Neodiprion lecontei: one gene and its partner. The protein of the gene in region 2 binds, or shares a complex with, the protein of the main gene of each other region. Links are inferred from orthologs where the notes say so. Each region holds a gene or a part of one and is shown on either strand. Other genes may lie near its edges.

Region 1 (4,842 bases), on a different chromosome or scaffold from region 2:
ATTTTTTTTCCACCAGCAGCAAAAATTAAACCAACATATTATAAAAATGTTGTATTGATTGATATCGATAGAGGGTCAGTTTCAAGTTTTCTTTTATCCAATTTGATAGGAAAACGAAGTGAAAATATTTATATTCTATTCGTGGCAATGCAACGTCGTCTTCGATTTGACTCGATTTATGCAGCTGATGATTTTCTTCTTTTCGATGGAAAAAAGGCAAGTTGAATAATAAACTAACTCATTTTCAATATCAGCGTAATGTGATGTATCATTGCTTTTCACATCCGTTAAGAGTAGAAATCACATAGCCAAACCACAGAGCCTGCGGTGAATTATTTTCAGCGCAAACCCATAAAAACATATTTATCTTTATGCTTACTATATAATATCCGAATCAAATACATCTGAAATTTTTTCAGATTTTCCTCCCGGAATTCCTTCCCCATTTTCGCCGGTCACACCGCCCGCACCTGCGGCGTCAACTTTTTCCTGTTTGGATCTATCTCTGATCTGTCTCCAATTCTACAATCAGGACTTGTGATTATTTATTTCCACCTTCCTAGGCCTAGATTTAGAAGGAATCGGAAATACTATAGTACGAACTATGAAACGCGTGTAAATATGTACCACACTCGAACGCACGGTTATCTTCAACGTTCAATACCTTGATGAATAAGAATTCTCGACCTCGTATATAATCTATTATAGAATCTCGGTGATCGGTCAATTAAGTAAACGTATTTTTAGTTAACGTTTCGACCCGGATATGGGCCCTCCTCAGAACGATTTATTTATTTAACTGTCAAGAACAACAAAAAAAATTTTTTTATATACATAATAATACTAGAAGTACAATCAGACATTAAATATTGTAGATGTAATACTCTTAGGGCTATTATATATTATTGGTTAGTAAGAACAATTTGATTAATTGAAAAAAGAATGGCTTAAAGTGTTATTTACCTTTTTTTTAATAAGTAAGTGGACTAGGATGTAGTCGAATTCACAATTTACAATTAGTGGAGACAATGTTCTTTGAGTGACGGTAGTCAATGTCAATCTTCTAGTTATTTTACATGTAGGAGTTAATAGTTGGCAGTCATTAATTAAAAAGATTAAAGAACTATGTTTCTTCACAGTCAATATGTCATTGTGTTAAAAGGTTTTTAAAGAAGGTCTTTTTAGCCGTAAAATTAATTTGCAAAATGTCCAAGAAGTGGAGGTAAGCTCTTTATGACTATGTTCCACATGTCTAACAAAAATTATTGTTGGTTGAACCGATTGGGTCAACAGGTGAATAACGACTGATGGGAGAAACAAATATGATCCAGAGTAAAGGTGAACCTAATATAAACAATTATACAGAAAAACAAAAAATATTTTGTGAAAAAATTATGTAGAAAAACTGTGTTATGGGGACAAAAATTTTTTGTATCTAGTTAAGGTTAAACAATATTTGTTGTGTGGGCGGAGATTACAAGACAAGATGTTGGACATTTAAGTAATATTTACAAACCTCTAATCTCCGCCCACACAACAAATATTGTTTAACCTTAACTGGATACAAAAAATTGAAAAAATTGAATTCGACTACATCCTAGTCCACTTACTTATAAAAAAAAGGTAAATAACACTTTAAGCCATTCTTTTTTCAATTAATCAAATTGTTCTTACTAACCAATAATATATAATAGCCCTAAGAGTATTACATCTACAATATTTAATGTCTGATTGTACTTCTAGTATTATTATGTATATAAAAAAATTTTTTTTGTTGTTCTTGACAGTTAAATAAATAAATCGTTCTGAGGAGGGCCCATATCCGGGTCGAAACGTTAACTAAAAATACGTTTACTTAATTGACCGATCACCAAGATTCTATAATAGTTCAATACCTTGCCTTATTATTAAAAATTATTTTTTTTACGTTTACCACTGATTTGCATCGACAAAAATGTGAAAAACAACTTAGAAATAACAAAAATTGCGTATGTTTTTTCTGTAGTTGATGAAAGCGAATTGAATTTTCGTCACATCGACAGTCGCCAAAACCTTCCTAGTCCTCCTAAGCTTAATTTTCCGAATTTTTCAGTTCTTCTTTCGCCAAAATGTTTGGCAGAGATTGTAGTAACAAAAATTAAAAAACACGAAATCTTTCCTTTCCTAGTCTCTTTAAGTACATATATATTTATAATGTATCTTGTGAAATTATATGGAACTTTCAAATCGCGATAAATTATTCAAATATTTAGCAAATCCATAACGACCGTTGTGTCCGTAGTTCGAAATTTCAAATTCAAATGCCGACGCGTCCGGACCCGCGGCGCCATCTGTCGCTATATTTAGGAATTATAATCTAAGCCAGCCGCGCAGGCAGCAAACTGCAAGGAGCTTGATTGCAGCAAACATAACCTCTCAAAATATCGACGCTTAACAAGCGTGTGCAGTTGAGGTGTTAGGTTGTATCATAAAGTAGTGAAAATTAGGTAAGTTCAACGCTTTTTATCTTTCAAATGCGTTCAAAATAATGCGATATCTCTGTCTTCGAATTTTTATCACCAGTAATACCATGTTAATCGCGATAATCAGCAGATTCCGAAATCGCCGGATGCAAAAAAGATACGAAAGCATTTCTGCGTTCACGTATTCGTGGCATTTTTAATGTAATGAATAGGATCATCAATGATTTTGCATTCGGATTTTTTTCCACATTGAACATTATATAAATTACGGTTCTGCTTTTCCCTTTTTTTTGACATCGGCTCAGAGGTTAGTCGAGTGATTTCATCTTGCTGACCAAAACAAACACAAGTCATCGCTGTGCCGACGATAAGACTTGTTCTAACTCCGATTCTGATTACAGGCAAAATGGATATAAGGCCAAACAACACGATCTATATAAACAATTTGAATGAGAAGATAAACAAAGATGAGCTGCAAAAGTCGCTCTATGCAATTTTCTCGCAGTTTGGTCAAATTCTTGATATCGTTGCATTGAAAACGCTGAAAATGCGTGGCCAGGCATTCGTCATATTCAAAGAGATCGCCAGCGCTACTAACGCCCTTCGATCCATGCAAGGTTTCCCGTTTTACGATAAACCAATGGTGAGAACAACTAGTCAGATCTGATTTGAATCCTCAAACGTCAGTTTTATGTTAGAAATATCATCATTGCTCAACTTAGCACTCAATTTTTATCAGCAAACTAATATTCTATCTAATTTCCTCTCTCCTGTTTTCTTTTTCTTAATAGAGAATACAGTATGCGAAAACGGACAGTGATCTAATAGCTAAGAGAAAGGGCACGTTTGCTGAACGACCAAAGAAACCTAAGCGGGTTGTACCTGCTGCAGAGGAGGAAGCGAAACGTGCGAAAAAGCGTGCCAAGGAGCAGGCTAAACACTCTCAGCAAGTCGGCTATCATTCCGGAGTTCCTCAGCACACAGGAATGGCGAACACTGCAGTGCCCGAGCAACCGCCAAACCAGATTCTGTTCCTGACCAATCTGCCTGACGAAACCAGCGAAATGATGTTGTCCATGTTGTTCAATCAATTCCCAGGCTTCAAGGAGGTCAGATTAGTACCAAACAGACACGACATTGCCTTTGTTGAGTTTGAAAACGAGGTGCAATCTGGTGCGGCAAAGGATGCACTTCAAGGGTTCAAAATAACGCCGTCGCATGCAATGAAAATATCATTTGCTAAGAAATAGATGATAAATAATCGAGGAATAACTTTCGGTGAAATATCGACGAATTTTTGTATTTTTAGAGTGGTACGCATTAGATGTCTTGTTATTTGGCTTTTTTTTTCATTTTTCTTCTCTGTCAATTTTCACCGGAGATGTGAAATAGTTGCATTCTTAAGAATTACGCTATTCATACTATCAATACGATAATTTCCCGAAGATAATCTATATTTATATACACCGTACTTGTACAAGTCATATAATTCCATTGATATAAATAAAGCTTGCACTATCCCCCCTGTAAATATACATTATACGTCTGGAATAGCGCGCATTGCACTTTGGCCTATTTTTGACTAAGCGGGGATAAAAAAATTTCCTTCATTTTTTACACCAATTTTGTTGATAATTTATACCGTATACTCCGATCCAGTATTATCTTAATTTAAAAAAGAAGTGCATAGAAATAATTCAATACAGTTATCCAATATCGGTAGTAAAAAACGAAATTGTCATCTTTGCCGCCTGTTCATAGGCAACTGACCTACCATTATGAAATTGCTGCCTATGCAAAGGCGTATTTCTTCTGCTACAGATATATTTTATTTCGAAGTACACGTGATAGAATACTTTATTATACGATAATCGATCAATTTTGATTAATTTTTCCTCTACGAAATTGCCGTGGATATAACACGGATTACATGTAATTTAACAAAAATATCCTTTTATAACAGAAGAGTAGGATGAAAAATGATTGAAAACGAATTATCCGGTACAATTGATGAATCGTGAAACGACAACGCGCTGTTTCTGCATTCGTTGCAATATCCGGCTTCCTCCTTGCAGTTTGATTCAACGAGTATTTCTCGCATTCCCGGTTTTCCCAAGGTGCGTTCACGAACCACGCCTGCGCAGATATTCGTTCGACAACCGTGGCTCGGATCTCGGATCTCCGGATAAGTCAAGCCAGTCACGTAGCTGGATGAAGCAGTTAAGTGTGGTCAGTTGATCGCTTCAGTTTCTCAGAGTTGGTGTTTCGTGGGATTTAACCCCTGACGTATTTTTGTTCCATCCCCCCCCCCCCCCCACTCCTGTAATCTTTTAGTGTTTTATAGTTCTCGGTGTGTGTATGTGCGCGAATGATTTTTCAA
Region 2 (4,946 bases):
TCAATGCAAATCATGCATTGCAAGTCTGGCGAAGAAGTTGGTAATAAACAAAAATCATAAAAGCAGGCTTACAAAAATAAAACTCAAGTTAATACGTTGAATTTTCAAAGAATCTCTTCTTACATGTAGTCCGAAAATGAAGCAATGGATAAAAACGGTAAATTAAAATCAATCGTAAATCGATGTAATAAACTCTGCGAGGCATAAATTCGTTGATTACAATCTGTGATGAGTTTGTATGGGACAAGTGAAATCATCCGGGTCGATCTGTGTCAGTGTTAGTCGATAGTGTTATTTCGACAAAATTTCCGACATAATCCATCGAAATTGGAGACAATAATGGATGATTGTTGATGATTAACGATACAACTTTTTGGTTAATTATAACTTGATTTACTTGAGTCATCGCTTCTCAATCTCCGTTACAATTTTCTATGACCCAGTTTCGAAAATAAAATAAAATTTTCCGACGCTCGAACTTACCTTGCGGCGTTGATATAGGCGAGTTTTGTAATTTTTTGACCTGCTTTATTTTCACAATAATTTTACCAACGGTTTTTGTTTGAACCTCCTGCAGATGTGCAAAAATTGAGAAAGCCAATTGCATGGACATGCAAGTTCAAGGTTGAGAAGATCTATAGCAAATTGACCTTGATAATAAAGTCGAAATTATTTGCACTCAACGCGGTTGGATCTTTCATTTAGTAAGACAGGTAGAAAGGTGATTTCTCTTTTTTTGGAACATTCATGCGTATGAAAATAATCGTTCAACATAGTATGCATCAAAATCTGGTTCCTATTCATCTACTGGCATTAAAGTTAGATATGGGTGAGAAATTCGCAAATTTAAATAAAAATCGCGACTATGTTCCCTACTCTTCGATATGTTATTCGATTAACGAAGAAGGGGCATTCATTTAGTCCATCGCATCTAAAAAGTAGGTAAATCATTTGTTCCAGTTAATTCGTCTGTTAAATTAACGAGAAGGTTAATATTCTTAGAGTGAATTTAATACAAAAACCTACATAGTTTTGTGTGTAGTTCAAACTGTTCAGAGTGTTTTTTATTTCTAATTTCAAGACAAGGAAGACTGAGAAGAAAAAACCGCTCATTGATTGCTTATATCAGATCAAGTTACTTGTTAGGAACAGGTAAAAAAAAAAAAACGGATGACGTTCGATTGACGTAGTTAATGACACCAATAACAAATATTCTGGAGACGTTGGTATCCAATACGTCAGGGAATGCTCTTTCAACTATTTACATTTACTTAAATGGTATTCTGGGTAATTGACAAGAGAAGGAATTTAAATAAGCTAAAATCATAGAACGGTAGATATTCAGGGCTGCAGACCATGAGCAAATATGTGTCCTTTTTAGCAATAATACTTCACTGAAAATTATAACCGCACTAAAACTACGTTCGGTGTTCAATTGAAATGGCAAAACTTTTGAAAACAAATTTCGCGTACGATATTTGTTAATCCAAACGTTCCAAAGGTAGAGAACTAACAAATGTTCAACGAGCTGAATGACGAGGAAAATCGTTCAAGTTTACATTTTTTGGGAAATATCTTCGGAATTTGCCGCAGCTTAGTGTATGTAATGTTTGTTGAATACAAAAATCAGTTCAATTCGTATAAATGTATATACAGTAACTAATTTTGTAATTCAAATCGTCGACATCTGTGATTTCTTCCGATATATTATGATCAACATTAGCTTACCATCAGTATTTACAAAATCCTAAATCATTCAAATTTTCAATTTTCGCTAGGTAAAAAAGATTTTTTACTTTTTTGAATATCTTTGAAATTGAAGTAGGATTATACAAAAATGTACCATAGAGCCGACAGATTAAAGGTAACGGTACGAAGTTGATGAATCGGTACAGAATTTACGAGATTAATGAGCAGAAAAAGACCTTATGAAAATCATATGAATAATTGAGATAATGAATGTGCTTACTGAGCGCAGTCTCTGCAGTTACCGACTTGATCAGATGACTCGGTTGGTAATGACAGAAGACCTTCATTACTACCGACCACGGTCTTACATACAGGTCTGGTAACTCCGGCAGTTTTGAGTGGTAGGGGGTGTCACCGTTAGAGAGGCACACGGTCTTGTTTCCTATCCATCCGCTAGGGGCGCCATTGGCCCGGGGTATGCTAGATATAGATATATACCGATAAGATAACCTGCTCATCGAAGTTTTTGCCAGTTCATAACTCAGTGTAAAGTGTGTAAGCGATGGATCATCTACACAAGATCTCAAACTGTCTCAAAAGTTGTGAGCCCTCGCTTGATGTTTATGGATTTTATTGACTTAAACATTTGAGGATTCCGTTGAAATGAAACAATTATCATGCCCGCTATGGAATGCTAGTAAGCATTTCAATCATTTTTTATTCGCATCTTTCTTCATTTTTGAGTGTTATTCAGGATTGTTGATTCTGAAAAACCAGCTGTTCGGATCTGATTTATGATTAACTCACCCCGAGGGGACAGCGCTGCAGACGGTGAAGACGAGAACCACGGTTTTGCCTCATTATCTGAGTCATTCCCCACCCTACTAGTTTCCGGACCTGTATGTAAGACCGTGCTACCGACGCAATTACTGCTGATCATAAACGCTCCGTCGACTCGGCTGTCTCTAGTCTTCTGAGTTCGTGATTGATTCACCATAGCTGCGTCAAAACCGTAGTCGGAACGGTCAAAATTAGCGTAATAAACGGAAAGGATTTGGGACACGTTTCTTTACAGTTGCTGAGAAATTTATTGTCTAGAAAAATGGTGAAGTTAACACCGGAATTGATCCAGCAATCGATGCAGTACATAAATCCTGTACGAGATCGAGAATTGGACTTGAGAGGTGAGAATGTTAACGGTTTTTCAAACGACGTTGCGCTGCTTTGGCGTAACTTAACCTGAAAAATTCAATTTTTGCACCGGTTGTTGCTGAAAATTTACTTTTTTTATTACAGGATATAAGATACCAACGATAGAAAACCTGGGGGCCACCTTGGTGAGTATCAACGTTCAAGAAATAAACAAGAACAGAAAAAGAGATTAACTTGAGGTCAGAATTGATTCCCAATATATGAGAGTTGAATTATGATGGAAGAAAGTCCGTTTTTGCATGCATGTATAAAGCAATTGTTGGGGGATGAAGAGCATTTGTTTCTGTACTTCTAACATTGGCATTATGTATTATGGTTGCCTGAAGTCGAACAGTTTGATTCAAGCCTTTGGGCTTCGAGTTCAGAGTTGGTGAAACAAAAGAGTGCTATTGATGCATTGTTAACAGCCTATATTTGTTCCAGGACCAATTTGATACAATAGATTTCTCTGACAATGACATCCGAAAGCTGGATGGATTCCCGTTGTTGAAGAGACTGAAGACCTTGTTCTTCAACAACAACAGAATAGTCAGAATAGCCGAAGGCTTAGAGCTCTGTATTCCATCGCTGGAGGTGCTTATGCTTACCGGTAACATGATACAGGAACTGGGCGACTTGGACCCACTCATTCCGCTGAAGAATCTTCGGAACTTGTGTCTCCTGCAGAACCCGGTTTCTGCCAAGCCTCAGTACAGACAGTACGTCGTCTATAGATTGCCACAGCTCCGTCTTCTCGACTTCAGGAAGATAAAGCCAAAGGAAAAGGAAGCAGCCATCCTCTATTTTAGAAGCAAGAAGGGCAAGGACATGGCCAGAGAAATAGCCAAAAAGGCCAAGACCCTTGTTGCTAACAATGGCACCCTAAGCAAACCACCCACCAATGCTGAAGAACGCACAAAGATCAGAGAGGCCATCACAAAAGCTTCGTCACTGGAAGAAGTTCAACGATTGAGCAAGTTACTACAAGCTGGTCAATTACCTGGCGAGGAATCTTCACAGAATGGTATGGAAAACTTTACTAAAATTGTTTGTACGCCTGGCCTCGGAGCTTGATTTGAACATAGTAAGACTATTCTAGCAAATTGAGTTGCGAATGAATTTTTTTCCAAATAAAACATCGAACTCGATACTTATTTCAAAATCAATTTTTTGCAGACGAATATAGCGCTTGTTTATGCTCGCGGGCTACTAATATCTCCTATTTTTCAGGCACCCCACAGCAGCCAACGCCAATGGAGGAGGAGGACGATGAGTGAACTAAATTGAGGGATAAATGTTTAATAATCTGTTTACCGCATTACGAATTAAGTTCTTTTTTTTATAAGGTTACAGCGTAATCCCGTAAGTATGCATTGCCTCCTGATCAACGTTTGTAAAATGAAATATGTAAAAAAAAAAGGTTCTGCATATTAAGCTAATAAGAAGCTGTACACTACACAAAATACAGCATTATCCATTGGAATGTATGGATAGAAAGCGATGGTAAACCGAAATAACGGTTCATTGAAAATTCTAAAAATAAATTACTCTTTGATTGCAATGAAACAAGGTTCGGAAGCGATTTTACCTGAACGAAATTTTCTCTGTAATGTTTCTCCGCTGATTCTAATGTAAATCTCTGTTTATTTCAGCGTGGTTCGAATAAAACACATTGTTTTTCACATTATAAATTGTGTCTTTTAATACTTATTACCATCCAAAGTTTCCCAACAACTTAATTTGCTTGCAGAATTTCATCAAAACTAACCATAAACTAATATTAATAGTTGATATAATCTCACGGTTTGCATTGATGAAAATTCATGCGTAAATCAGTAGCTCAAAGATCTTCTGAATCCCACATTATCACTCAAGTTTAGACGAACCGTTCGCGTCTGTAACGCAGCTTAAGCTAAACTGGAGCATACAAAATCAGCTTCGAACCGTTGTAAACAATTTTTGTTTTGATTTTCCTCACTCTAGGGTCCGTTCGAAGCGTCGAAACTCGGATTAGCGACTTAGACCGCCTGAAGGTAAATTACAAGTCATACACAAACGTAAGACCC

The links. Proteins that work in one complex are often made in the same cells at the same time.
Region 1: the proteins of probable U2 small nuclear ribonucleoprotein A' (region 2) and U1 small nuclear ribonucleoprotein A are in contact, whole or in part, in a crystal structure (PDB 6F4J), measured with the Drosophila melanogaster proteins. The link is inferred for Neodiprion lecontei from reciprocal best matches to the Drosophila melanogaster genes U2A and snf. Residues at the interface, in NP_610315.1 of Drosophila melanogaster: Tyr15, Asn17, Pro18, Arg20, Glu23, Asp25, Arg27, Ser50, Leu70, Asn72, Asn73, Ser92, Ile94, Thr96, Leu121, Ile122, Leu144, Asp146, Phe147, Arg148, Lys149, Lys151; in NP_511045.1 of Drosophila melanogaster: Ile18, Glu22, Lys24, Lys25, Ser26, Tyr28, Ala29, Ile30, Ser32, Gln33, Phe34, Gly35, Gln36, Ile37, Leu38, Asp39, Ile40, Phe72, Pro73, Phe74, Tyr75, Asp76.

What each region holds. Positions count from the first base shown.
Region 1 is NC_060262.1:2,057,733-2,062,574, reverse strand, and holds U1 small nuclear ribonucleoprotein A, read left to right. Parts: upstream 1-2,373; 5' UTR 2,374-2,486; intron 2,487-2,863; 5' UTR 2,864-2,868; coding exon 2,869-3,105; intron 3,106-3,253; coding exon 3,254-3,712; 3' UTR 3,713-4,079; downstream 4,080-4,842. UniProt on the Drosophila melanogaster protein: Binds stem loop II of U1 snRNA. It is the first snRNP to interact with pre-mRNA. This interaction is required for the subsequent binding of U2 snRNP and the U4/U6/U5 tri-snRNP. Plays a role in regulating sex-lethal splicing.
Region 2 is NC_060263.1:37,391,023-37,395,968, forward strand, and holds probable U2 small nuclear ribonucleoprotein A', read left to right. Parts: upstream 1-2,631; 5' UTR 2,632-2,791; coding exon 2,792-2,873; intron 2,874-2,985; coding exon 2,986-3,026; intron 3,027-3,324; coding exon 3,325-3,904; intron 3,905-4,110; coding exon 4,111-4,157; 3' UTR 4,158-4,446; downstream 4,447-4,946. UniProt on the Drosophila melanogaster protein: Involved in pre-mRNA splicing as component of the spliceosome. Associated with sn-RNP U2, where it contributes to the binding of stem loop IV of U2 snRNA.